Schizosaccharomyces pombe: one gene and its partners. The gene in region 4 interacts genetically with the main gene of each other region. Each region holds a gene or a part of one and is shown on either strand. Other genes may lie near its edges.

Region 1 (6,494 bases), 2.7 Mb from region 4:
TTTGTTACTAAAGAAAAATAAAATATAAAAAAATAAAATAAAATTCTATTTCTTGAGTGTTTGTCCCTACTACTCTTTATTACATTTCTTTGATATTCCCATCGCTTGCATCCTAATTAGCAACCTCTTTAGCATCATAAATATAATACTACTACTTTCTATGAGCCAGTATTTTGGTCGACCTATTGCTGCTACTGCAAAAGTATCCTTTCTGCGTCTTTTTAAAATTTTCAACATGCGAAGCTTTCTCTTGACACTGTTGTGTTAAGGTTCGTTAAGCGGTTCGCACTTTGACCACCTTCGGACATTTGTCTTCGTTTATAGTCCATGTGATTAGTGCATAACCTGCTATGGTATAAAGCATGCAACAAAGGAAAATGAAAGAAAGTATTGAATATGCGAAATGCGACGCTGATTAAGGAAGACTAGAATGAATTAAAAAATTTTTCTTGATATTGCTTTAGAAAATCTTTTTCGTTTCCATTTGTTGTTCTTTTTTTTGCATACATTTTTTTTTTCGGTGGCATTCATTTTATTCTTTTCGGTTTGTTTACCTAATCAAATTTTACTATTTGGAAGTGCTTCATCCACATTTTCAAGAGCTAATAAAATTTTTTTTTTTGCTTTCTTATTTCCCTTTTTTTATTTTTATTTTATTTCAATTATTAACTCTTCTCTTTTTTCCCTCTATCTGTTTCTTCTAACTAATCATCTTTGCTCTACATTCAAATCACTCAGTAATTTGTTCGCAAACATCGCAACTAAATTTGGAAATGAAATTCAAACTATTTTACTCATGGTCGCAGTGCCAATTTCCATTGTGCAACTTGTCAAGATAGCGAAGATCACTGAAATTTGTAAATTCAAACACATAAAACGCAAAACCGTGAGAACTATACACTCTTCCAATGTTTTAATTTTTTTGTTTCTCCAATTTACTTTTTTAATAACCCATATTATTACTCATCACATTATTGTATTGTTGTTTTAAGCATGCCATTTTTTCGTACTGGAGCGCGTTAAAGATCTGATAAGCAAAACTTTCAAGATTTAAGAAGATATGTATATATACTTTAAGATCACCATAGCTAGTGTGGATCATTCTAGTGTGTATTTTAAAAATGGCATATTCCATTTTGTTTACTCTACTTTCAAATTTTTTTTTTTTTAAAGTGGGTCATCACTACAGAAATTATTCAATGAAATATATCTTCTGTTTTGTAGCTCAATGAAAACTCATAATTATATAAACATATTTCCTTAAATTCCACACTCCAGTTGCCTCATATCCATAATGTGATTTTTTTATGTCTTGTTTTGGTAAAATCTCTGATTGTGTGTGGCTTTTTTACCTAGCTATTAAAATTAATGGTTCGGTTTTCAGATTCGGACTTAAAGTCATATCAAAACCCCTACCCATTTTTCTAGCATTTCCAATAGTGGTTTACCAGCGCAACAACTCAAACAGCATCTCACTCACAAAACCATATGATCATTCATCATCTATAGCATTTAAATTAAATTAAATTAAATTAAATTATTAAAGCATCATTGCTTAATGCTTTATTTTTCATTTGCGCGCTAACTGATTTTTATTTATTAATTGTTCTCACTGCTTCTCTATATCTCTGTCTTGCATACAACAAAGGAAAACACAATGTGACACAGTTTATACAAAAAAAATCATTAATAATTCATAATATCATTAGAATCCTATAAAATGTTTTGTTGTTCAGGTATATGTACACACACTAAGTGAATTTAAAAGAATATTAAACGAGAAGGGTTCAAAGCCGCCCGCCATAGTTAACCAAAAGTAAGCAGAAACATTAATCTCAATTAAAAAAAGTAATTTTGTACGAGTGTCGACTTTTGTTTCACTATATTTTTTTTTTGGAAATTTGTTTGCTTTGGAGATTGAAATCATCCAACGTGAAGCACTTATTGGGTTTAGTAAGACTCGCTCTCAATTTATTTCCGTAAGTGGATCACGCTATTAAATTATTAGGGGCAATCACTCTTTGTCTGCGGTACAAATCTAAAACAAACGAGGGATCCCCATTTTCGTGTTGCTCAAAATATTTTATTAAGACTTCAAAGGCCATGGCAGCCTCCACGTTTGATATTTGAGGCTCCACGTCTTCTTCCTCATCCGACTCAAAGCGTCTCTCCTCCAGAAACTCTGCAGCAACGGTATCCACAGCATCTTGATGTAATTTGGTTTCATCTTCTTCAGAAGGTCTAATGTATTCATTAATTTGCTTAACAGCTTCGCTGCCCTTGCTTGAAATCAGATTACCAATTTCCATAATGGCCTTTTGATACGACTCCATTCCTTGTCCTTCGGCCTCGGAATGTGGACCCAATAATCCTGATCGGAGAAAAGATGCTTGAATAGTCTTTTCACTCACCCCAAAATTCCAAGACCAAAGCATCCACCGAATGGCTTTTAAAACATTAACGGCTTTTAGAGGATCTCTCAATATGTTGATTTGATTAAGGGAGTATTGCAACCAGTATCTTCGATAATTCGCTTTAAATGTATCGACTATTCCTTGTTCAAACGGAGACTTAATGTCCAATGTTTTTTCTGGAATTCGAAATACAGAGGTGTTCTGAAAACCACCTTTAAACCGTCGAACACTTTCAACACCGAACTGATATGTGTCATTGCTCTCTAACATCAATAGGACCTTGCGTCCTTGCATACGTGTGTCAAACCACCGAAGCCATTCCTCCATAATAATTGGTGAAATTGAAGCTCGGCCATTCCACTTCCATTCGAAGTTCATACTTTTAGGGAAAATACCGCACTGCTCAAAAGATCTTGGGTTTTGTGCATAACCCACGATCCATAAAGGTAGTCGTTCTGACCCATCGGCATTGCAACACATAATTAAAGACACTTTGGCTTTTCCACGCTTCATTCCCTGGATTTCCTGATAATCCAAGTTTTGTTTATTAGGAGTGAGTTTCCAAAAAAGGCTTGTCCCTCCAACGCAAAATATATCTTTTTGGGCATAAGGCCGTATAAACTCTTGAATATGAACTGGGTATTCTCTAAACACCTCAAATTTGATGGATTCCAATGCCTGATTTACCGCACTTTGCTGGATATAATGTCTTCTTCTAAATTTATCCAACCAACCATTGCTAAAGTCTGGTAATGGGAGAGAAGCATACGCCGGAATTTTCGACCAAAATCGAGTAGCAGCTTGTTTGATCATATCCCCTGATATAGGAAGGCCTTCAACTTCTCTTTGTTGCAACCATTCGTACACGGCATTGTCAAGCAAAGGAAACTTTGGAGCTCGAATTTTTTTAATATCACCGAGTCTTACACTTCCATCATCTAAATAACTGTATTTGGGTGAAAGAATTTCGGAAATCGTTGACTGCGATAAATCTTTATTGTACGTTTTTCGAAACCATTCTGTCACTTCCTTTTGAGGAATTCTATGGGCAGATTGGTTATAATAATCTCGAATTGCCTTTTTCTCTGCTAAAGAGACGGCCTGGCGTATAGGAGGCATTGATTTTCCTTAATACTTACTATGCCGATACTTTTCCAGACCGATATAAGAGTATAGCCTTGGATTTATACAATTATTTTATGTTGTAGTAGATATCGGAAATAACGGTGAAAAGACGAATTCTATCCTTGTAGGGTTTAAGAAGGTGAGTACTACTAGTGCATCCTTCTGCCTTGCACCCTATATAATCTAAGTGCAATATACCGAACCTATTGTTAATCTGTAATAACAATGCCATTGGAGATGCTCAAATTATGACGTTCAGGTTAATATAGCAAATTTGCGTATCTTAACGATTTTGTCAGTAAGAAAAAGAGAATTCAAGAGCAAAAAATAGGAGAAAGAACGACATGAACGCTGTTAGAAACCGTTTAAAATCAATTCTCATATATGTTTTAAATGAGAGTCTAATTGAATACTTCCTCAAATTTCATTTCTGTAGCACACCTCTTCTCACTATTAAACAAAAATGTGTAAATAAATAAATGTTCCTTGGTATTGTAACAAAAATGGCGATTCTGAAGTTCATGAGCATTTTCCCTTCTCTTTCATTTAATAAATTCTCGAATTTTCAAATAACATAATATGTAAGTTCTCAGTTTTGGTGTAATTACTTTTAATTCCAATATTTCCATTCATAGTTCAATTCATAATACTTACTATCAAGTCTATTTCAATAATGTATGTTACACGTGTGATCCAATGTTTAAAAATGTAGAAGTAAATTTATAAAAGCAAAGCCAAAAATAAAGAACAAAGCTGTTTAAGCTAGTTACGGTACGAAGAGTAGGTGTTACTTACGTTTGATTCATTATTATTAACAGTAGAACTAATTAGTAAGCATCGTCTCAAAGAACCATTAGGAAATTCTTACAGCATACGGTACCGTTATCATATAAATAGCAAGCTTTGCATACCTAGCAGCTTAGTTTTTCCAATATTATTCGCTTAAAATTGAGAATACACATTTGATATTTACAGAGTTAAGCATTTTTAAATTAAAGTTGTGAAAAGATGCCTATCGTTAGCGGATTTAAAGTCGGACCTATTGGCTTTGGTCTTATGGGTTTAACCTGGAAGCCCAAGCAAACTCCAGATGAAGAAGCCTTTGAAGTAATGAATTATGCCTTATCCCAAGGCTCCAATTATTGGGATGCGGGTGAATTTTATGGTGTCGACCCTCCCACCTCTAATTTAGATTTATTAGCTAGATATTTTGAAAAATATCCCGAAAACGCTAATAAGGTGTTTTTATCTGTCAAAGGTGGTTTGGATTTTAAAACACTAGTTCCTGATGGAAATCCGGACTTCGTGTCAAAGAGTGTTGAAAATGTGATAGCTCATTTACGTGGGACCAAAAAGCTAGATCTCTTCCAATGTGCTCGAGTCGACCCAAATGTTCCCATTGAGACAACCATGAAGACATTGAAGGGGTTTGTGGACTCTGGAAAGATTTCATGTGTCGGCCTTAGCGAAGTTTCTGCTGAAACTATCAAACGTGCTCACGCTGTGGTCCCCATTGCTGCAGTCGAAGTCGAATACTCCTTGTTTTCTCGTGATATCGAGACAAACGGTATTATGGATATTTGTAGGAAGTTATCTATCCCTATTATTGCATACTCTCCTTTCTGTCGTGGCCTTTTGACTGGTCGCATTAAGACTGTCGAAGACCTTAAAGAATTTGCTAAATCTTTCCCATTCTTAGAATATTTGGACAGATTTAGCCCTGATGTTTTTGCTAAAAATCTTCCATTCCTCCAAGCTGTCGAGCAACTTGCTAAAAAGTTTGGTATGACTATGCCCGAGTTTTCACTTCTTTTTATAATGGCGTCTGGAAACGGTCTGGTCATTCCTATTCCTGGCTCCACATCTGTTTCTCGTACAAAGAGCAATCTCAATGCACTGAATAAATCTTTGTCTCCTGAACAATTTAAAGAGGCCAAAGAGGTCTTGAGTAAATACCCAATCTACGGGTTACGTTATAATGAACAGCTTGCGGGCACTCTTTCCGTTTAAAGTGCTGAAGTTAGTCGATACTCTTTCGCATTTCAGTTTTGAAATGCATATTAAATATAAACTTATTATATGCTAGCCTTACTTAGGTATTCAGTAATGACAATTTATTTACAGCGAAAATGTTAAATCATTTGTTTATAGAGTTTGGCTTGTTATTACCGATTTCTGCTCGATCTCGTTTAAATGTTTCTAGTATGCTCTAAAAAAAAAAGAAAAAAAGAAAATGATGGGTGCTCACGATCAGTTTAAAGCTGCTCTACAAATGGAATGTATTGAAAGTCAGCAAAAAATATTCAAAGACTAATATGACTTTCCTTGCACATTTTCCAAAACGCCCGTCGTTGAGTATATAGTGACTTGGGGGATCCGAATTCCACCGTTTTACCAGAATCCAATACTAAGACTTTATCATAATCTACAATTGTTTTAATTCGATGGGCAATGCACAAAACGGTAGCATGTTTAAATGCTGCACGAAGCATTTGCTGAATTCTTCGATCAGTAGTATCATCTACCGACGCTGTGCTCTCATCCAAAATAACAATACGAGATTTTCGGACTAACGCCCGTGCAAGGGCTAGAATTTGCCTTTGGCCGGAAGAAAAATTGACACCTCCTGAATCAACCGGTGTGTCAAGATGTATCGCAAAAGCGTCAAGAGAATTTTTGTTTGAAGCTTGCACTAAAGATTCACAGGAAGCAGTCTTAAGTATTTCATTTAGTTCTCCGTCTCCATACTCCTCAAAAGGATCAAGATTGCTTCGGACCGTACCGGATATTAGCACAGGATCCTGTGGAATTAAACTAATACGTTGACGAAGGACTTCCAAATCTAGAGAGTTGATATCAATGCCATCTACTTCAACCGCACCTGACATGATCATCGTAAAGCGAAGTAAAGTTAAACCCATTGTACTTTTACCACTTCCTGTTCGCCCAACAATA
Region 2 (6,308 bases), 1.5 Mb from region 4:
ATGCATCTACTTATAAAATTATTTTTAAAAGTTTTACAGCTTATTTCAATCTTAATATTCTACAATTACTGCTCATGATGATATGTCTAGACCACAGTAGAAAATACTATTTCATTCAAGTTTAGTTTTCCAACTTAAGAGTCAAATGGCATCTACCACAGTAAAGGCGGTCCTTGTGGTTGGCCATGAAGGTGGACGCACCACAGTTGGGACACTCACGACGAAGACGCTTAACGCTTCCATCATCCTCAACCTTGTAGTATTTGAGGACGGCGAGCTCAACCTTCTTGTGCTTGTGCTTGATCTTCTTGGGAGTAGTGTAAGTCTTCTTTTTACGCTTCTTACCACCACCACGAAGACGCAAAACGAGGTGAAGAGTGGACTCCTTTTGGATGTTATAATCAGACAAAGTACGTCCGTCCTCGAGTTGCTTGCCAGCAAAGATCAAACGTTGTTGATCAGGAGGAATTCCTTCCTTATCTTGGATTTTGCTCTTGACATTGTCAATAGTGTCAGAGGATTCAACCTCAAGGGTAATGGTCTTACCCGTAAGGGTTTTTACAAAGATCTGCATCGTCAGCAAAGTATTGCCTCTTCCTCGCGGATGGAGGAAAATATTGATGTTGCATTGTGATATATGGATGCGTGACTGGTTTTAACTCACGTAGGTTAGGGTGTAACGCAAGTTTCTCGTACTGAGAATTAACGTTTGCGTTAATTATATAACACAATTTAACATTTCTCACAATTTTTAAAATCGTAATGCTGAAATGAAAATCCTGATTCCCTTGTATTAATATCGACAGTTTGTCACTAATTGATGTCAATTATATCCTATTGAATGATTCATATATGGTGATTTAGTGTAGTAAAGGCTTGTAAACCTGTGATTTTGTGTTTGCATAAGCTACGACGAGTTTTCGTATTTTTTGGTTCTTTGCAAATAGAAATGAATTATCTTTTCTCTTGCCGACAAAATTTCCTCCAATGACCAGCAATAATAGTTAAAACAATCATTGGTTTCTCTGTTTAAGTCATAGTGATTAATTTGTTGAATTATTATTATCATAATAAATGCTTGCTTGGCAGCATACTACAACCACTGTTTTCCAATGAAATACTTCGCATACTATAGTAATTAAATACAAGTTTTCCCTAGAAATACCAACTTAAACATATGTTGACTAAACATCGGTGCGAGTGAAAGCAAACACTAATTCTTACTCATGTATCCAAGTTGTTTGTCAGGTTTGGGGAAACTAGTTTTACCATTTCAGCCGTTCAACGATACGAACAACTTCATAGTTGTATTTCCATTTCACAAAGATTAATCTGTAGATTTTAGATGATGCAGAGTTATACACAATACTAGGGTGATGAATAAATATACAAAAGACAGATACAAGTTGATAAATTATCAAAATTGTCACAGCATTAGTTCATGTACGATGCTTGAATTTGAATTTATATAAAAGCAAATTAAAAACAATAATATTAGTAAAATTAAAAAATCCCAAAAAAAAACCAAACATAACTCATTATAATGCAATGCGATGCAAGTTGTACAGCTGTCATCATTAGTGCTGTCTGCGATCTACGCCGCCAACACATATATTTCTCTGCTTATGCCGATTTAAGGCATCAAGTCGGTTAAATCTCTTTAAGCATTCACATACATATGGCCTGCCATTTTCGTGAATCCTCAGATGACGCTTAAGATCGTGGTGACGAACAAAGCCAGCTTTGCATAAGTCACAGCGATACGGACGGTCGCTCAGATGTGTTTGAATATGCGATTCAACATTATATTTGCGAGCAATACGTTTATTGCACCCGTTGTACAAACAGACGTACTTTCCATCTGCTTCAGGGCCGCAATATAAGCTAGCCATTGTCTCCGGAGGAATTCTACAAATCCTAGTTGATTGCTTGCGAGTTTTGCATCTATGATCGTATGAAATTCTGACCGGAGGTTTGGAATCATGCTCGGTGACTTGAGGAGTAATTGATAAATCAGCAGATTCAATTTTTGGAGCTAATTGTTCTTCTTCCTTGACAGTGATACAAGGTTCAGGTTTCTTGGTAACTATGCAAGATTCATAAGGTGCACTTAATGCAAACTGCTGTGTCAAAGTGTTGTTGATATTTGCGTTCGATATGTCAAGTCCATGATCGCAAACGGATGAGAATTTTTCAAATTCAGAAACGTATTCAGCAGGTGATGATAACTTTGCAAACGCTTTCTGGTTGTCAGTATGCCTGCATACATCCAAATGGGAAAACGAAGAATCTAGAGCAAAGGAGGGCTTTTGAGGCGAAGTGGGCTCTAGCTTTACAAGTTGGGCAAATGGGGATACAGGGGAGATATTAGGTGCAGTCTCTGGACTCGATAAGTCTACAGGATGTGCCGGACTTGGTTGGGATATTTGAAAGTTCAATTCTTCAAATGAAGGCGCACCGTTTATCTCATCTAATCCAGGGGGAGAGGATGGGAGGAACATAAACTCATTAAATGATTCCAATTGCGAAGAGCTGGGAAGAACGGAAGAGGCAGGACCCGAGGTTTCAGGTATACTTGAGGAAAGGTAGTCGAAATTTTCGAGGTGATCTTTGTTGGAGCAAGTTTCCGTCTTTATTTCTGGTATGTCAAACTCAGGAAACGAAAGGACTTGTTGTTGAGAGTCCAGCTCATCAATCCAATTTGATGCATCATAACCAATTTCGGAAAAGGCCTGTTGAGAGTTGGTCAAGGAAAATGCGTCATTGTTATTAAAATTTTGCTCGGTATGGATTTGTGATACGCAAGTTAAAGGCGAGGAAGGGGGTGATAAGGAAGCATCAAAGGAGGATGCATACGAGTGAGAGTCGGGGAGCGATATTTGGTTCGATAAAAAGTATGCAGAATTCGCTTCCAACAAAGGGTTAAACGGTGTTTTTAGAACAGAACTATAGTCAAACTGATCTTGAAAGTTCTGAAGATGAGAAGGCGGTGAAGGGATAACAGCTTGATTTAAAGACACCTCATTTTCAAAGGGAGCGAAGGAGGAAAAAGAAGTATGCTTGCTATCGCCAAAAGTTTCATAATCCCTTTGGTACGAATGATTACAAGCTGGACTCTCTTCTTGTCGAAATGATTCAAACGACTTTTGCGAAGAAGATGATAAATATGAAAGCGACATTGTCTTGTTTACTTAGGATAGCGAGTATCTAGTGCAATGCGTAGAGAAATCAAGGAGAGAACGATGAGAGAAATGACTCTTGAAAAGAGTGCTTGATAACTTGAAGTGAGATGAAAGTGTGGCTCAAAGCCAGTCTAACCCAGTAGATGATTGAACTAATCACTCTTCGATTTTTTTTTGTTTGTTACAGCAATGTTTGGTGCGCTGGCTATTTGTTTATATCAAATAGCTACTCCGTTGCTATGACGACAATTGTTGAATTTTATGCTTCACTTTACCGCAAAACAAGTCACTATTTGTTTACATTGCATGGATTACCGAACCATATCACAACAACGCAATACAAGTGTAAACACAGACCCAGGGATTGTTTATTTACCTTTTGTTGCCAAAGGGACAAATCAACTATTTTTTGAATTAAACCAGTAAAAGGTTTGATTGAAAGACACTACCACTAATAAACAGGATAATCACGGCTATGAAAATGTCTACGCTTCAACAACTGGATCATGGATGATATTAGAAAACATAGATTAAGTATGACAAGCCAAAAAAAAACGGTAACCAACCTGAAAAAACGACAACGACGTTGAGATCAAAAACCTTAAGGTATTAGTATTAGTATAGAGCTAGCAAGAGAAAAAATGCCATGGAAAAGTTTTTAAATGCAATGAATAAGTTACTTACAACACTGACAATCAAAAGGGCAATCCGGTGTACCTCCACCTTGGCCAATGTTTAATTCCTCCTCGTCATATACAAGAAACCCTTCCTCGGTACGCTTTCCTAAAACACAAAACGTTAATACAATTACTGATGATAAGGAGAAAAGTGCCGTTGCTAGGTAAGTATTGCATCGTTCGGCAAACATTCCCGTAAACAGAATAGCGAATAAGGTTCAATACCACACAATAGAGCTTAATGATTTGGAGTCTCCACCAACACTAAACATCATTGTGAAATGTATCTCCCTAGAAAAACGTAATCTAGCTCTAGCAGTATATAATAAATAAATAAGTATATAGCACAGTTCGAAGTTTCTCAATCTTTTAGACAATAAATATGAATTTGAGGTCAAAGAATTGACAAACAACGCGGATGCCAAACATGAACGAATGCAATCATTAACCAAGTAGCGAGAACGTATGTAAGGATGAACTATCAAACGGCAAAAAGTGTCTTACTTCCTGAGGCTCCCTTTGGATCTAAAAATAAATCGTCTTGGTTATTAGTAGGTTTTGGACGACTTGGAGTAGATTTTGTCTTGGCTCCTTTCTTAGGGGCTTTCGCCTCCGACTTTGAGTCATTTGACTTTTCATTTGCAGGGTTTGCCTTTTTAGAAGCAAAAATGTCGTCGATTTCCATCTTTTAAATACTCGTAGAGAGGAGTTTGCCAAGTCAATGGCAATTGTATAATTGAGTAGAGAGACAGTTTGTTGTAGCTTGCAAACTTGCTAGAAATTCTTTTGCGGTACCGTGCTTCATAAAATAAGAATTCTCTAAAATGCTTAAATCTGCATAACGTATTCTCTCGTATTACGGTAAAGAATTTGTAATATTTATAAGAATGATTCTTCAGAAGAAACTTGTACCAGCATTAAGGCATGAGATTGATCGATTCCTTTTTTTTCCTTTGGTTCTTTATTATGTTTAAAATTGTTTAATTTTGTTTAGAAGCTGTATCACCTCTGTCATCGGTATTTCGAAACGGCAATAAAATGTAGACAATTCTTTGGCCAAGCTTTCTTTATAAAAGCATATTTAGGTCAACTCTATCCTAATACCATAAATTAACACTTTTTGTCTTCATTTAAGAAGCGAATTATTGCTGTATCAAATTAACAAATGCAAAATCTCATTGCTTAATAAACGAAATACTTTAGTAATTAAGCATAAGATAAAAATAAAGTGAATACTATTTGACAATGAAAATCAGCTCAAAACCTCTGTCAATTCTTTTTCAGCCTAGAAACCACCTTAGAGAAATAAGGCAAAACATTTGAATACAAATATACAAAACACAAATTATTAGTGGTAGAACAATTCAAAAAATTCGAAACCTCTTCTTCAGTTGATCAATTCATAATTAGAAATACAATTCCTTTTACAAAGTTTACTTCCTTACTCTGCAAAAGCGCCTCTATACATAGCAAACCGCAACAAAATTAAATACCTATATTACCTAAATTAAAAACATAACTTTTTTTTGACCAACAAAATGCCATGCTTAAATTGGCGAGACGTAAAAATGCCGTGCATTTCAATTTAACCAATGGAAACCTTTTCTCCTTCAGACTTTCACTCTTTTAGGACCGGACTCAAGCTCTTCATCATTTTCAGTGCTGCGCTTCTCCCCCAAAGGCTGAGTATTGGCTGAACTGCCAGAAACAATACGACCATACTGGCGTGCACGTTCATGAACACGCTTAGATGGTTCATCCTGTTTCATGAAACGATACCATTCATCAGGAGCTCGACGAAAAAGCTCGACCTTCCAGTTTGAGCAAACTTTTTTGCCATAGAAATCAAATTTGACGTCGTCACCACCTTCAGCCAACTCACGAACAATTCTTGTACGATAAAGCGGCAATGCCCTTGTGGCCTTCCACGCTTTATCTACAATATGCGAACCAGGAGCAGAAACAGCTAATGTAGCAAATGATCCGGAAAGGATATTGAGAAATTTTTTAAGAAATACCGGGTTTAAGTCTGATAAATCAAGAATTCCTTCTATCAAGTGAGAGGATACTGTTTCCAGACAATATTCCAAAATCTGCTCTTTTGAGAGATCTAAAACGCTATCTAATAATAACTGAATATGTTGTTTCTCACAGTGAAGCATTTCTTCTAACAGTTGAGCACCCAGTAAATTATTAACAAGTTTACGCTCTTTGTTTTCTGGGTTGGCTTTATCACGTTTATGCTTCGATCGGAGCAAGCATGGAATAATGTTGGCATCCTTTCCACTATTTGTTACGCTTGTCTGAATCATTGAAAATATGTCATCTTGATAACAATGTAAATGGTTACTCTTCTCAAGTAATGTCCTTAACACTGGAAGAAATGACTTCCTAATGATGTTGTCTGTATTCTTCTTTAATTCATCAATGACAGAACCAATCTCCTTCC
Region 3 (6,002 bases), on a different chromosome or scaffold from region 4:
TTGCGTATCACTATATGTCATATGTTGGAATACTAGCTAAGATCCGTTTATTGATAATCACGGGTAACTATCCTTCTATATACATAGATACCCGTTGATAACAACTATTTAGAAATATTATAAATAGCGTTACAACTGAACCTCGTTCCTCAGTTCAGTTATGAGCTATATTAGTGATAGGTAACATTATAACCCAGTTAATACAATACCTATACTCAGTTGCTACTTATACAACCTGTGTATTGTAATATAATAGACCACAAGGAAAACTCACCGCAGTTCTACGTATCCTTAAATCAGATACCAAACTGCGTAGCTTACAAACTACTTATAACCACCATTCAAAACAGGTTAAATCGTTATTGCCGATTGGACTTTAAAATACATATTGCTACCTTTACTGCTATCTAAGTTTAAATTCGAAGATGATTAAGCCAAAGAAGTTGTCGTCGTTGATGAAACAGGCAGTTGAGGAAACTGTACCGTCTATCATGTAAGCATTTAGTGAATTTGAAGTTCATTCTTACTTCAAATCCAGTGGGTACACCTGTACTATTTTGGAGCTTAGATATATAAGTTTATTGTTGAAATATTCTGAGGTATTAACAAACTAGGGTTTTTACCACTACTGGCTCGCTGCTAGCTTATGTTTCTTTTGAAGATCCTAAAGATGGTTTAAAACGTCTGGATTTAGCTAAAAGGGTTAGATCTATTGCGGCTTTAGCAGGCAACATGTATTCACTTTATACTGCAACCAACCCTAGCCCTTTGGTCGCGGAGTCTACAGACGACGTGATTGCTCATCAAAGAGATGTACTTTTTGAAACAATAATTGAGTTTGAAAGGGGGAAATTATTAATAGCCGCCATTTCAATTGATGGGGCTGAAGATAAACTTTACTCCAAAGACCCATTATTATTAGGGATTGTTGGAACAGAAAACGCAAAGGAAGGAATGATGCAAATCAAATCTGAACTTTTGAAAGAGTGTATCACCAATGAGCTTTCCACGCTTGGAAAACCAGTCTAACTTATTTTAAATCTATTTTGATTTAAACTCGATAATGTTTGGAGCTTTACTTGCATTGTTTGTTACAATCATAGGCTTAAGCCTGACCTTGGTTTAAGAAAAGAATGCTACAACACATCATTATATTGTTAATTTTCTCTTCCCTTTTAGCAGATTATTTTGAATTTTTCATTTGGACAAAGGATATATTGATTTTACGGTTTATTTGAATGTTTGAACTTGCTTTCTGGAATTTTTGAGACATCCTTAAAACTTGAACTAACGTTAATTTGTCCGAATTGGGCGTCGGATTAGCAAAAACAAATCATCTAAACCCTGGAAATTTTCATCTTTCTCTGCAAATCTTCTATGATGTTTTCCGCCCAAATGCTATCGATGTGTTAGTGCTGTTTTTGCTATGATTGGTTTAACTTACCCTTTCCAAGTCCTTGTATCTCTCACAGCAGTTTTCACAATATCCTGATTTTGTTTCGATTTTCACCTTCTTGTGAGCTAGAGGATCTGCATCGAAGGCATTAGGTGGTTGTCGAGGACTTTGGTTAGCCAAGGTGTTTTGTTTGTTTATTAAACGAGGTTCAAGAAGGTTAAGTGGAGACATTGCGGCGCGTTTCTCTACCGGTAAGAGGTTTTCTGGCTTTGGAAACTCTGTCGGCATTTGTTTTGCACCATCAACTGCTGATTCTGTGATATTATAGTCCCCCATGATTTGACGCACCAACACACTCGCTGAATTTTTAACAACGTTATTTTGGTTAGTTTGATTAGTGCAACTTAAGAGCTGTTTTCTGATTTCGTGAGCTGGATGGTTATGTTTTGTGATTTTTAACTCCCTTCTTCTACCAGTATTAAATGGACATCTTCCTTGTGCGGTTATAGCAAGACTTGGCCATAAGATCTCTCCAGAATCCAATGTTTTCTCCCATTCTCGTACTGCAATTGGCTTATAGTATTGTGATAAATCTCTAATGCAGAGGAAGTATTCACGAAAGTACTCGACGTTTTTGCTTGGCACGTAAAAGTCTTTGTCTGATGTACCATACACTTTTTCACCGTCTAGGAGAGATTGCAAGCACGAAGCTGAGGTATTAACCAGGCTATCAGAGTTGAGTAATGTAAAGAGGATTCTGTTCAATAGTTCTAAGAAAGTTAGCGAAGGTTACACTGATATATTAAGAAGACTTACTGTCCAGGAGCCAAATTTTCATATTGGCAGTTTTCGAAAGGTAAAGTACATCATTCGGCTGGCACATTTCTGGGTCGGTAGTCCTGGTGGTAATGAAATGTGTAACTTCAAAAGTAAATAATGTTGCTACTTTCTATATATGTGTTAGTTTTGATCTGCGCAAGTTCTTGCATGAACTACTTACGGCTCCAAGATTATTAATCTTTTGCGTAACACGACGCTTGATTTCCTCATCAACGTTGTCAAAGTAAAATATAAAGTTGGGAAACGCCAATCGATAATCTCTTTGCCAGTAACGAAGTTTGGAAACTCGAATGCTGGTTCTTGGTATATCCTTGTTTCGCGTTAGGGAAGGTTTTACACAGTAGTTTGAAAAAGCAGTGGGTGGGAGAGCCATCTTTGCTGTGGCTTTAGCAGAGTCAAAGGCATTTTGATGAGGCATGTGCGTTTGTTGTTGAGGGTACCAGTCGGAGCATGAAGTTGCGCAAGCTGCAGTTTGACACAGTTCTTTGTCCGAAGTTTCTGTTTTATAGCTAAGAGGATTTTGAATATCTCTCTTTACTTCTTCGTTTATATTTTGTATACTGGGATTTTGGTCGACTAGAGGAGATCGAACAAACGGCTGAGACTTCACTGAATAGAAGTCCATACTCTTCCGGATTGACTCGGAAAGATTTTTAGGAAGAAGAAGTATGTATATATATTCCTTGGGAGGCTGATGAATTCACCTGTTGGTTAATCCTACTTATGTCTGGCTTTAATATTCAGCAATGGCCTCGGTAAGCAAGATGCAGGTTTTCCTCTAGAAGTAAAAAGATAAACCTATCTTTTTTTCTGTGGAAGTTTGGAGGAGTATCCTGGATATATATACAATTTGATTTTGTTTGTTTACTCAAATATTTTCTCATATTCACCTAGTATTGTTTGTAAACAAAAGCCTCGCCTCGCGTATTAAGCCAGTAAATTAAACGCGCGACACGTCGCGTTGCGTATCACATTCATACTAAATAAATAAGCTACTTTGGCTCCATTTGATAGTTTTGCTGGGTTCCTTTGTAAAAATTTTTTTAGTATTCATATGATTAGAAAATATATATTTACTTGATTCAAGCTTGTAAAATAAACATAGACCCAATTTTAAATAAATAGGTACCTAAAAGTCTAGGTAACATTGTTACACTGACACGTGAGAACTTTGTAGTTAATTAATCGTCAACATAACGAAAACAACTCAAAGCAATTCCCGTAACTGTCCATTTAGGAATTAACCAAAAAAACAAACAAACAAAATCTATTTTTATTCCAATGATACTTTTATGACTCACCAAGGCGTTAATAATTGCGAAAACACATACCAATATGTTTACAATTATTTTTTTAACGAAATTCGTTAAATACTTCATGGCATTTGAGAAGTTGTATGGCAATCGTATTTAACGGAGACTTTTTCATATTCAGTATCCCTTTTCATTTGGAACTTTAAGGTTTTCCCAGCTGAGAGTTCGTTTACATCATTTTATTAGATTTTTACTTGCAACTTGGGTTCGACTTTTAGTTCACTCATAAATTGTACCATTACCATTACGCTGGTGCATAAATAACCCTCCTTCTGGTCCTCTCTGTTCTTCATTTCCATCTTTCATTTTCTATTCTGCGTATTTTAACAGTTAAACAATTGTAGAATTTATTCGAGAGATTTGCAAAATTCTGTTTTAATAATTGGTTAGGTTTAATATTCTTTTCGTCTTTCAGAAATCAAGTTTAAGTATGCAGGGTTTCAAAATAGCTCGACATTTTGAGTAAGTAGTTAATTGTTAGTTCTATTTAAAGCTACTTCAAACTTGATAATTCATATCATCTGTTTTGCATGCTCATGGAACGTACCGCTCAACCCTTGCTAATACATGTGCAATGTAACACATAAAATCAATTTTTGATATAATAATCTTAAAAAAATGAGTTTTCTAACGTTTTTCAAGGCTTCCGACTGCCCCTTCTCAGTTCTTCGCAGGAAGCTCATTAAATAGGCTTTCGTTTCTTAGGTCTAATCGAGAATTTTTAAATAAAGCCTTTTATGATCATACCACTCGCTTTCTTCCTTTTTGTGACTTAAATCCGGCTCTACTCGTAAAGGACGATAAATTGGTCACTCTTTCATATCCTCAGATATCCAAATATTTCACGTTCTCCCCTTTTGAGCACACTGATAAACAAATTGCTGAACGATTTTCCAAAGGAGAAAGTTTACCTGTCCTTGTCTACATGGGCAACGAAGAAAGAAATGGACCAACAGATAATTGGAGTCAACACAACGTTTTTGCCATTGACATTACTGGCATCGATGAACTTCAGCAATCGATACGAGACAATGGAGGTACTTTCGTTAATCTTCGCTCTATCTTCACCGAACAATATCAATTGAGCGCATCGGATTCTGGTGCTTGTGCTTTTGCACGCTCTATTCTTGACTGGATTTCAAGGTACAGATTTTGCCCGGGTTGTGGAAAACGCAACATACCTACTATGGGCGGTACAAAATTGGTCTGCAGTGACGTTTTATTGAACGACGACTCAAACTGTCCTTCAAAGAAGGGTATTAATAATTACCAGTATCCTCGGACAGATCCATGCGTAATAATGGTTATATTGTCTCATGATATGCAACACATTTTACTTGGAAGAGCTTTGCGCCATCCGAAAGGACTGTATGCATGTCTGGCAGGCTTTCTGGAGCCAGGGGAAAGCTTGGAAGAGGCCGTTGTCCGTGAAACCTATGAAGAATCTGGAGTTGACGTAGAAAAGGTTTTATATTATGCTAGTCAACCCTGGCCTTTTCCTCAAAGTTTAATGTTGGCTTGTTTTGGAATTGCCCGAAAAAATGCTAAAATCCAGAGAGATAAAGACTTAGAATTAGAGGATGTGCGTTTTTTTTCCCGAGAGGAAGTTCTTCGTTCTTTGGAATGGGATGCCAAGGATGGACCTGCTCCAATTTTATTTCCCCCTAAACTATCCATCGCTAGAAATTTGATCCAAGCATTTGCATATGATGATTGGACAAATTCACAAGTTAAAATGTAAAGGAAGTTATAAAAATGGAAGTTTAGCTACTTTTCCAAAGATAATAAGTGAATTTTCTAAAAAGGTTGATTTACTCTGCTACATCAAAGCAAATATAATCGGCTCATCAGAATTGAAATATTCACACCTACTAAATCCAGAAACAAAAAGAATTTTGTTAAGTTCAATATAAAATATTTATATAATAAAATCATGAATTATGCATAAAAAGATTCGTAATATTGTACAAGTTTAGGTCTCTTTAGAGAAATAGAATTTGGGCAGAGATGCTCGGCAATTTAAGAAGTTTGTTTTGAAAGTAGTTTAGCAATGGCAATTCGTACTCTTCCACCCGTAGATTCCATAGCTTCAAGGAATTGTTGTTCTGTTGAATTTGTGTACCTTAAAATATTGTCGATCGCTTCATCAACCTCACGGTGATTTACTGACGACCTTAAAATAGAAACTTCATTTTGTAATTCATGCATTGCTAAGTTAATAAATTTTCCTTTCTCTTCACTGGGTACATGACCTGCAGGTAATGTAGTTACTTTTTCATTATTATCTGACGGTATGATTATAGTCGGACCGGTATGAGCTTCTTCGTTAACCATTCTGTATTTTTTCTGCTTTTTGGTAACCGGTTGCTGCATGTTCTCTTCCACTTTCTTATGAGAAGCTGCATTTCCTTCTAACGAAGTGTGAGCGACTTTTGTGGCACCAAAGCTTTCTG
Region 4 (6,401 bases):
TGCATTAGCATTATCTAGTGATGATGTGCTTATAACCGGTGCCGATGATAAAACTGTTCGACAGTGGGATATCGTTACGGGGCGTTGTATTCAAACTTTGGACTTTGTGTGGGCGGAAACTCATGATACATCTACTAGTCAAATTTTGGTCAGTGACACTTACAAACAAGAACCTTTCATCAGAGCTTTAGACTGCTTAGATGCTGCTGTGGCTAGTGGGACTGTCGATGGACTTATTCGCATCTGGGATTTGCGAATCGGTCTTCCTGTGAGAAGTTTCATTGGGCACACAGCTCCTATTTCTTCTTTGCAATTCGATTCCAACCATTTGTATTCCGGAAGCTATGACAATTCTGTTAGAATATGGGATTTACGAAGTGGCTCGCCAATTAATATTATACCTATGGAGAAAAAAGTGAATTCCTTAAGACTGTATCAAGGTCGTCTTGCTGTAGCATCTGATGAACCAAATGTTAGGATATTTGATACTGTATCTAATCGGAACTGGATTTGTTCAATTCCTTCTCACTCTGATTCCATAGCAGCCGAACCTAACTCAGTACCTACTTCTGTTCAATATAAAGATCGCTTTTTGGTGGATGGAAAGTCTGATGGATCTGTTAGCGTTTTTTCTGCTTAATTTGTATTTTTTATCCACACCTTTATTTATTATACTCTCGTTATTGTGTTGAATCTGGATAACGTTAATTTTAAAATTTTATGTCTTTATGCTTTGGTTAATGGGTATTAACTTCTGTTTGGTTTTTTTATTTATTTATGGACAAATAAAAAGGAACGAGACATTGCGAATAAAAAACTGTGATGTTAATTTTGTTCAAAATATTTAAAAAAATTCTCAAAGCAAATTGTTTGATCACCACCTCCCTTCTGCTTCTTATACTGTAGGTTTAAAATTTAGTAAATAAAAATCTTTTCTAGTTTACATTTTTTTGGTTTTACTAGTATGAAGTACGCAACCTCATTCTGATCTGAGATGTTGTATTTCATTTTGTTGATCCAGTTTACAAAACACGCTCAGCGTGTTTAATGTCAACTACACATAATAAGTATTGAAGAATCTTTTTGAAATTAGCAATTTGAACTCACACAGTGAGTAAAATATGGAAATAACCAAGCTCTTTTTATATTTCAGATTAACTGAATGGTCATTTTATTTTTGAAGCATAAATAGTCATAAATGCTAAAATTTCAAAATTTTACATCTGCAATATATATAGAGAATTAAACAACTGCGTTCATCTGTCGTCAACAGTCTAACAATGTCAGAAAACTGGTAGCGTTACTTTTTAAAACATCGACATAACTTTTAGCATTTTGTATGAGGCTATTTTAAAAACTAAGTAGAGAACATGATAGGTCCAAGCATTCCAAATCACAAAGAATATATTTAACATGTAAGAGTGTTAATACCAAAAAAGTATGTACTGAGGGCAAAAGATAATAAAGAAGTCATAAGTCATAACAAGATAAAATAAGAAAGTTATAAGAAAAGATGTGTATAATTAATGCTTATTCTCAAGCTTTTTCCAAGTGTTGAAAGCACGTACAGCGTTATAGGCAGTACGGAACGTTTTTCTTGCATTGAAATTTTCCCGGACGTTTGGAAGCAAATTGGAGGTTGCGGGACGCTTTTCAGACAGGAAGGGGTGCTTCAACGCATCAGCAGCAGTTAAACGTTTCGAAGGGTCGTTTTCCAAACATTTTTTAATAAAGTCCTTGGCCGTTTCTGAAATGCCAGACCAGCAAGGATCGTTAAAAGTGTACTCGTTAGCTAAAATTGCTTCTATAACTTCAACCTGAGAAGGTCGAGCAAATGGAGTATAACCACTGAGTAAAAAATAAGTTATAACGCCAATAGCCCACATATCTCTATAAACAGTATTAGTCAAGATACATAACTTCTGAATTAAAATGGTAGTTGATCAACTTACACAGGTTTTCCATATCCGGTTCGACGAAAGACTTCGGGTGCCATGTACTCTGGTGTCCCACATGCCGTCATGAGCATATAGTATTGAGAATCCTCATAAAAGTGGGACAATCCAAAATCGGCAATTAACAAATCTGAATTCGGATCTTTAGAGCGATAAAGTAAATTTTCTGGCTTCAAATCTCGATGTACAATTCCATTGTCATGCAAGTACTTAACTGCTGATGTGGTAGTACGCATTAAAGCAGCAGCATCGGCCTCATAAAATGAACCTTTGGCACATATTCTATCAAAAAGTTCACCACCGGTGGCCAGTTCAGTGATTAAGTACACTGTTTCAAGGGTTAGTGAACAAAACACATCACAATAACATTTGATTCATCAAATCGAAATCGGAGACATACGATTATTCACAGTTTCAAAAAAATCAACCAAGTGTAAGATATTAGGATGTTCATAAGAAACACGTTTTAGAATTGCAATTTCATTCTTCACCTATACCACCAAAAACATGTTAGTAAACGTAAATAAGGATGCTGTAAGTACTTAAGTCTTTACTTACAAAGTCTTGTTTCTTCTCCATCATCTTTTTATTCATAATCTTAGCCGCATACATTCTATGAAAATTTGGTCAGCAAACAACTCGAATTTAAAATATACTTACTTGTTAGTTTCGATATGAACGGCTTCACGAACCGTCGCATATGTTCCGCCTCCCAAAACCCGACCGACACGATATTTGCAAGGTAATAGTTGTTTCTGATCCACCGTAGCCTTTGGAGCACCGTCTTTCAAGGCCGAGGTGTTTGGTTTGTATGTTTGCTGCATAGCTGTAAAGAATCAATAGATGAATTATTCCAATGCCAACGAAGGTAAACGTAAAAGGTTTCTCTTAATGTAAATTATTGTATTGTTAGATGGTGCCATAAACAATTCTGTACTACAGAATTCTTTTATGAAACCAAAAATGTAAAGGTATGTAAATGAAAAAAATCCCGTAGAAACAATAAAGAAAATATTATTTGCGCGAAGCAGGCTGTTGAGTTAAACGGTGGTTCAATAACAGAATGATCTAAGCAGCGCAATGACTGTCCACCAACTTATGACAATAAGTGCTTAGCCTCAACTTGTAAATATGGAAAAATTTGGAAAAGGTATATTGAAATCCTCGGATTTAACAGGATATTGATATTGAATGTACCCGAATAGTATTGATGAAGATAACAAGAAAACCAGCGTCTGATAAATACCGTCCAACTGATTTGCAATTGCAAAACCAGTAGTCTGCAGTATAGTCATAAATCCTGGTAATTCCCAATCGGTTCAGTAATTTCCGTACCTATTTTCCTCTTCTAAGAGAAAACAAGATCAGAAAGATCAAAATTACAATTAGCGTATTGAAACCACCAAACACTGTAACAATGCAACACAATTATTTAAAGAATTGAATTTAATTATACAATCCTTAAAAAATCGCAGTTTTATGAGCAATTGGCAAAACGCGAACTGCTTGAAATTTCGCTGATATTACCAGCTCATGAGAGTTAAGTAGATATAACAAGCCATCATGGCGAATATTGGTCACTAACGTATACCGTAATAATGCGCTATCCCATGCATTTTAGTTTGTTTAAATACAGTAAGCGTATTAACAACATAGAACAGAATACGAAAAGGTAACCACGTAACAAAGATTCATACTGTAACAAAAATTGTGAAAAACAGACTGAGTGTAAATTGAGCTAATAAAATCGATTTTGAATGATTACTTTTATAATCTTTTCCATCTTGGAAGAGGTATTTAGTTATTTGAGAAAGAACCGAACTACCTTCTGAAAGGAATACCATACATTTTACAATAGCAGTGAGTATGGTATGTTAATTTCTCATATGCTTCTTGTATGATAGTTAGTCGAAATGTATTGGAGATAATGTTGAAGAAGTAAATAGTAAAAAATGCGCATGCATGCTTGACTCCATTTGTTCTACAGTACTTTACCCTTGCTATGATATAAATTCAAAGTATCGGTTTAAACAGACGAAACCAATAAGGGTTTAAACTCACATGGGTTTTTGAAGGAAGATGAGTCTACAATGTAAACTATTCAACTCTTAAATAACACTTTTTGATAAATCGCGATATAGCCAAAAACTAGAAGAACCCTAAGTAACTTCTTCTTATTAAGGTATAAAACAAGTTTTCTACATTGCGAATAACGAATAGAGATGAATGCATTAATTCTAACATTGAAAATAATATAGTCGATCCTTTGGATTCCAAATAAATTATGAAAACCATTTAAATCATTAATTAAAAATAAATTATGAGATGGATGCAATAAAAACCTGAAATTAATCAATAACCTTGAACCATCTTTGTAGGTGCCTTCCCTAAAAAGAAATCTATTAATGGAAAATTGCTCAACAGCACTAACGGAATTAAACCTGCAAGCATACCAAATTCTGAGCTAGACTCAATGTAACCCAATTTCTTCATCTCCGACAGTGCAGCCACCTCAAGTTTTTCGCTCACAGCTTGTTTATCCCTACAGCCTAAAAACATGGTTATACTCTTTTCTGTCTCGAAAGAAGGGGTCAAGGTTGCAGGTTGAATAAGTTCATGAAGACAACTCAAAAGTGAGTTTAAATTTCCAAATTTTACTACATTAATCCTCGACCGAACACTATCTGTTACATCAGATAATCTCAAATCGAGTTTCGTATGTGTTTGAGAAGGAATAAAGGTCTGAGAATGCTGGTCTGTTGTAAATCCGTTTGGCTTAGTTATTTTTCGAATGTTTTTTCGAAGTTTCGGCCATACCTTAAAAGCTGAGTCATTATGCTTGCTTAACAGCACTTCACTTGTGTAAACGACATTAGGCAATGACGTCGCATAATCATCTTTATAGAATTCATCATATGTGTAAATATAGGCTATACTCGTCTCTTCATACAAAAACTTAAGTAAAAGCTCCAATGCAATTAAATCATTTTCAGTACCCAAATATATGAGAATTACAACCTTGCTTCTTTCATATGTAGAGCCTTTTTCTTTCACACTAATCTCAACCTGATCAAAGGACTTCTTGTCCTTTTCTAATTGTTCAAAATCATTCTTCGGTGAACCATACTCAGTACTACGTATGATAGGCCTAATTTTTTTCACTGATAAATTGTGAGGATTACGTGTGAAAAATACTCCAACTGGGATCCGGGCCATCTTTATTAAAGGAATCAACTCATCCAAAGATTTAAAAGAATCACCCAAAGCTAAGCGGATGGAACTCAAAGACAGAGGAGAAGAAGAGCTCTCATTCTCAATTGTTTTATAATCCTTCAAATAGGGCATGATCAAAATGTTTGAAGAAGACTTCTTCAACGTCTCAAGAACCACATTGTAATAACCAGTTCCACTCACTAGCAAGGCATTGCTTTCGTACTCAAATTTTTTTATTTTTACAAACGTTTCAAACAATCCCATTAGTGCTTCATTTTCAACCTTATTATCGACCTGTGAGGCCCTCAATAGATTTGAAGTACGAGAATCAACAAAAAGTGTCCAAATACTATGAATAATTATTTGAGGCAGATGTAGACAGCCACTCACTTTATCACGGTTCTCATAAATATGTTGTATAAATATCATAGCAGCAGAAGCATCCAATGGATGATTGATTAAAAAGGAGAGTCGAGTCGGCAATTCTGGAAGATACTGCACAAGCTCTTCGGAACTTTCAATAGAATTGTCATCATGTTCACTTTTAGTGAACCGCAGAAAGAATTTAGTCATAGGGGTGGTGACAAATGTCGTTATAACAGCCATAAACACAAACATGGAGAAAATTGTTTCATTCAATATTCCAGTTGAGAGACCGATGTTCAAAACAATCAATTCAACAAGGCCCTTACATGACATTAACGATCCAACGACTAGTGAATCCGACCATGGCATTTTGAGAATCCGAGCAGCAAGCATACTAGATCCCATTTTAGAAGCTATGGCAACACATATTGTTCCAATCGTGTATCCCCATATTTTCCCAGTGTTAAGCGTAGAAATATTTGTCTTCAATCCTGAACTAGCAAAGTAAAGTGGTAGAAACAAACAATTTACTAAATCTTCTATCTTTTCTGTGATCTTAACGGTTAAATCGTTTTCATGGGGTATAATGGTACCGACAAGAAAACCACCGAAAATTGGATGAATGCCGATAATGTCGGTGAAGAAAGCAGAAACAAGGACCATTGATAAAACAATGCATATAAAAGACTCAGATGGTTTATCCTTTAAGGACCTGGTTTTAACTGCTAATAAGTATACAAGCGGTTTTATCGCTATGAAAAGAAAAAGGCACCACCCCAAAGCGAGCAGTAGTATATATACAGCTCGAACACCGGAGCCACTATTTACCAAAGTAACTGACAATGCTAATAAAATCCAGCCGATAAC

The links.
Region 1: mutations in cmk1 (region 4) and cbh1 together harm fitness more than expected from each alone (negative genetic interaction), as found in Schizosaccharomyces pombe (one large-scale study listed by BioGRID).
Region 2: mutations in cmk1 (region 4) and ace2 together harm fitness less than expected from each alone (positive genetic interaction), as found in Schizosaccharomyces pombe (one large-scale study listed by BioGRID).
Region 3: mutations in cmk1 (region 4) and SPOM_SPBC1778.03C together harm fitness less than expected from each alone (positive genetic interaction), as found in Schizosaccharomyces pombe (one large-scale study listed by BioGRID).

What each region holds. Positions count from the first base shown.
Region 1 is NC_003424.3:4,457,237-4,463,730, forward strand, and holds cbh1 (CENP-B protein 1), read right to left. Parts: upstream 3,643-6,494; 5' UTR 3,534-3,642; coding exon 1,989-3,533; 3' UTR 1,684-1,988; downstream 1-1,683. Other genes in the region: pyridoxal reductase Plr1, read left to right, coding at 4,548-5,549; abc1 (ABC transmembrane transporter Abc1/Ybt1), read right to left, coding at 5,843-6,494. UniProt on the Schizosaccharomyces pombe protein: Binds to centromeric K-type repeat DNA and ARS3002 DNA. The CBH-binding consensus sequence is Py-Pu-A-T-A-T-Py-Pu-T-A.
Region 2 is NC_003424.3:3,237,789-3,244,096, forward strand, and holds ace2 (DNA-binding transcription factor Ace2), read right to left. Parts: upstream 3,366-6,308; 5' UTR 3,180-3,365; coding exon 1,578-3,179; 3' UTR 1,444-1,577; downstream 1-1,443. Other genes in the region: ubi3 (ubiquitin-40S ribosomal protein S31 fusion protein), read right to left, coding at 122-574; SPOM_SPAC6G9.01C (uncharacterized protein), read right to left, coding at 3,775-3,782, 3,867-3,965, 4,364-4,544; RNA-binding protein Nop9, read right to left, coding at 5,470-6,308. UniProt on the Schizosaccharomyces pombe protein: Regulates the transcription of genes required for cell separation.
Region 3 is NC_003423.3:3,100,143-3,106,144, reverse strand, and holds SPOM_SPBC1778.03C (NADH pyrophosphatase), read left to right. Parts: upstream 1-3,781; 5' UTR 3,782-3,979; coding exon 3,980-4,011; intron 4,012-4,191; coding exon 4,192-5,290; 3' UTR 5,291-5,502; downstream 5,503-6,002. Other genes in the region: guanyl-nucleotide exchange factor Lam2, read left to right, coding at 426-493, 615-1,029; Spo4-Spo6 kinase complex regulatory subunit Spo6, read right to left, coding at 1,294-1,398, 1,445-2,166, 2,213-2,345, 2,397-2,861; telomere-binding protein Rap1, read right to left, coding at 5,569-6,002. UniProt on the Schizosaccharomyces pombe protein: mRNA decapping enzyme that specifically removes the nicotinamide adenine dinucleotide (NAD) cap from a subset of mRNAs by hydrolyzing the diphosphate linkage to produce nicotinamide mononucleotide (NMN) and 5' monophosphate mRNA.
Region 4 is NC_003424.3:1,736,309-1,742,709, forward strand, and holds cmk1 (calcium/calmodulin-dependent protein kinase Cmk1), read right to left. Parts: upstream 2,993-6,401; 5' UTR 2,780-2,992; coding exon 2,616-2,779; exon of another isoform or gene 2,569-2,615; coding exon 2,514-2,568; exon of another isoform or gene 2,447-2,513; coding exon 2,356-2,446; exon of another isoform or gene 2,284-2,355; coding exon 1,953-2,283; intron 1,891-1,952; coding exon 1,524-1,890; 3' UTR 1,145-1,523; downstream 1-1,144. Other genes in the region: mdv1 (CCR4-Not complex subunit Caf4/Mdv1), read left to right, coding at 1-640; potassium ion/proton antiporter Kha1, read right to left, coding at 4,308-6,401. UniProt on the Schizosaccharomyces pombe protein: Important in cell cycle regulation.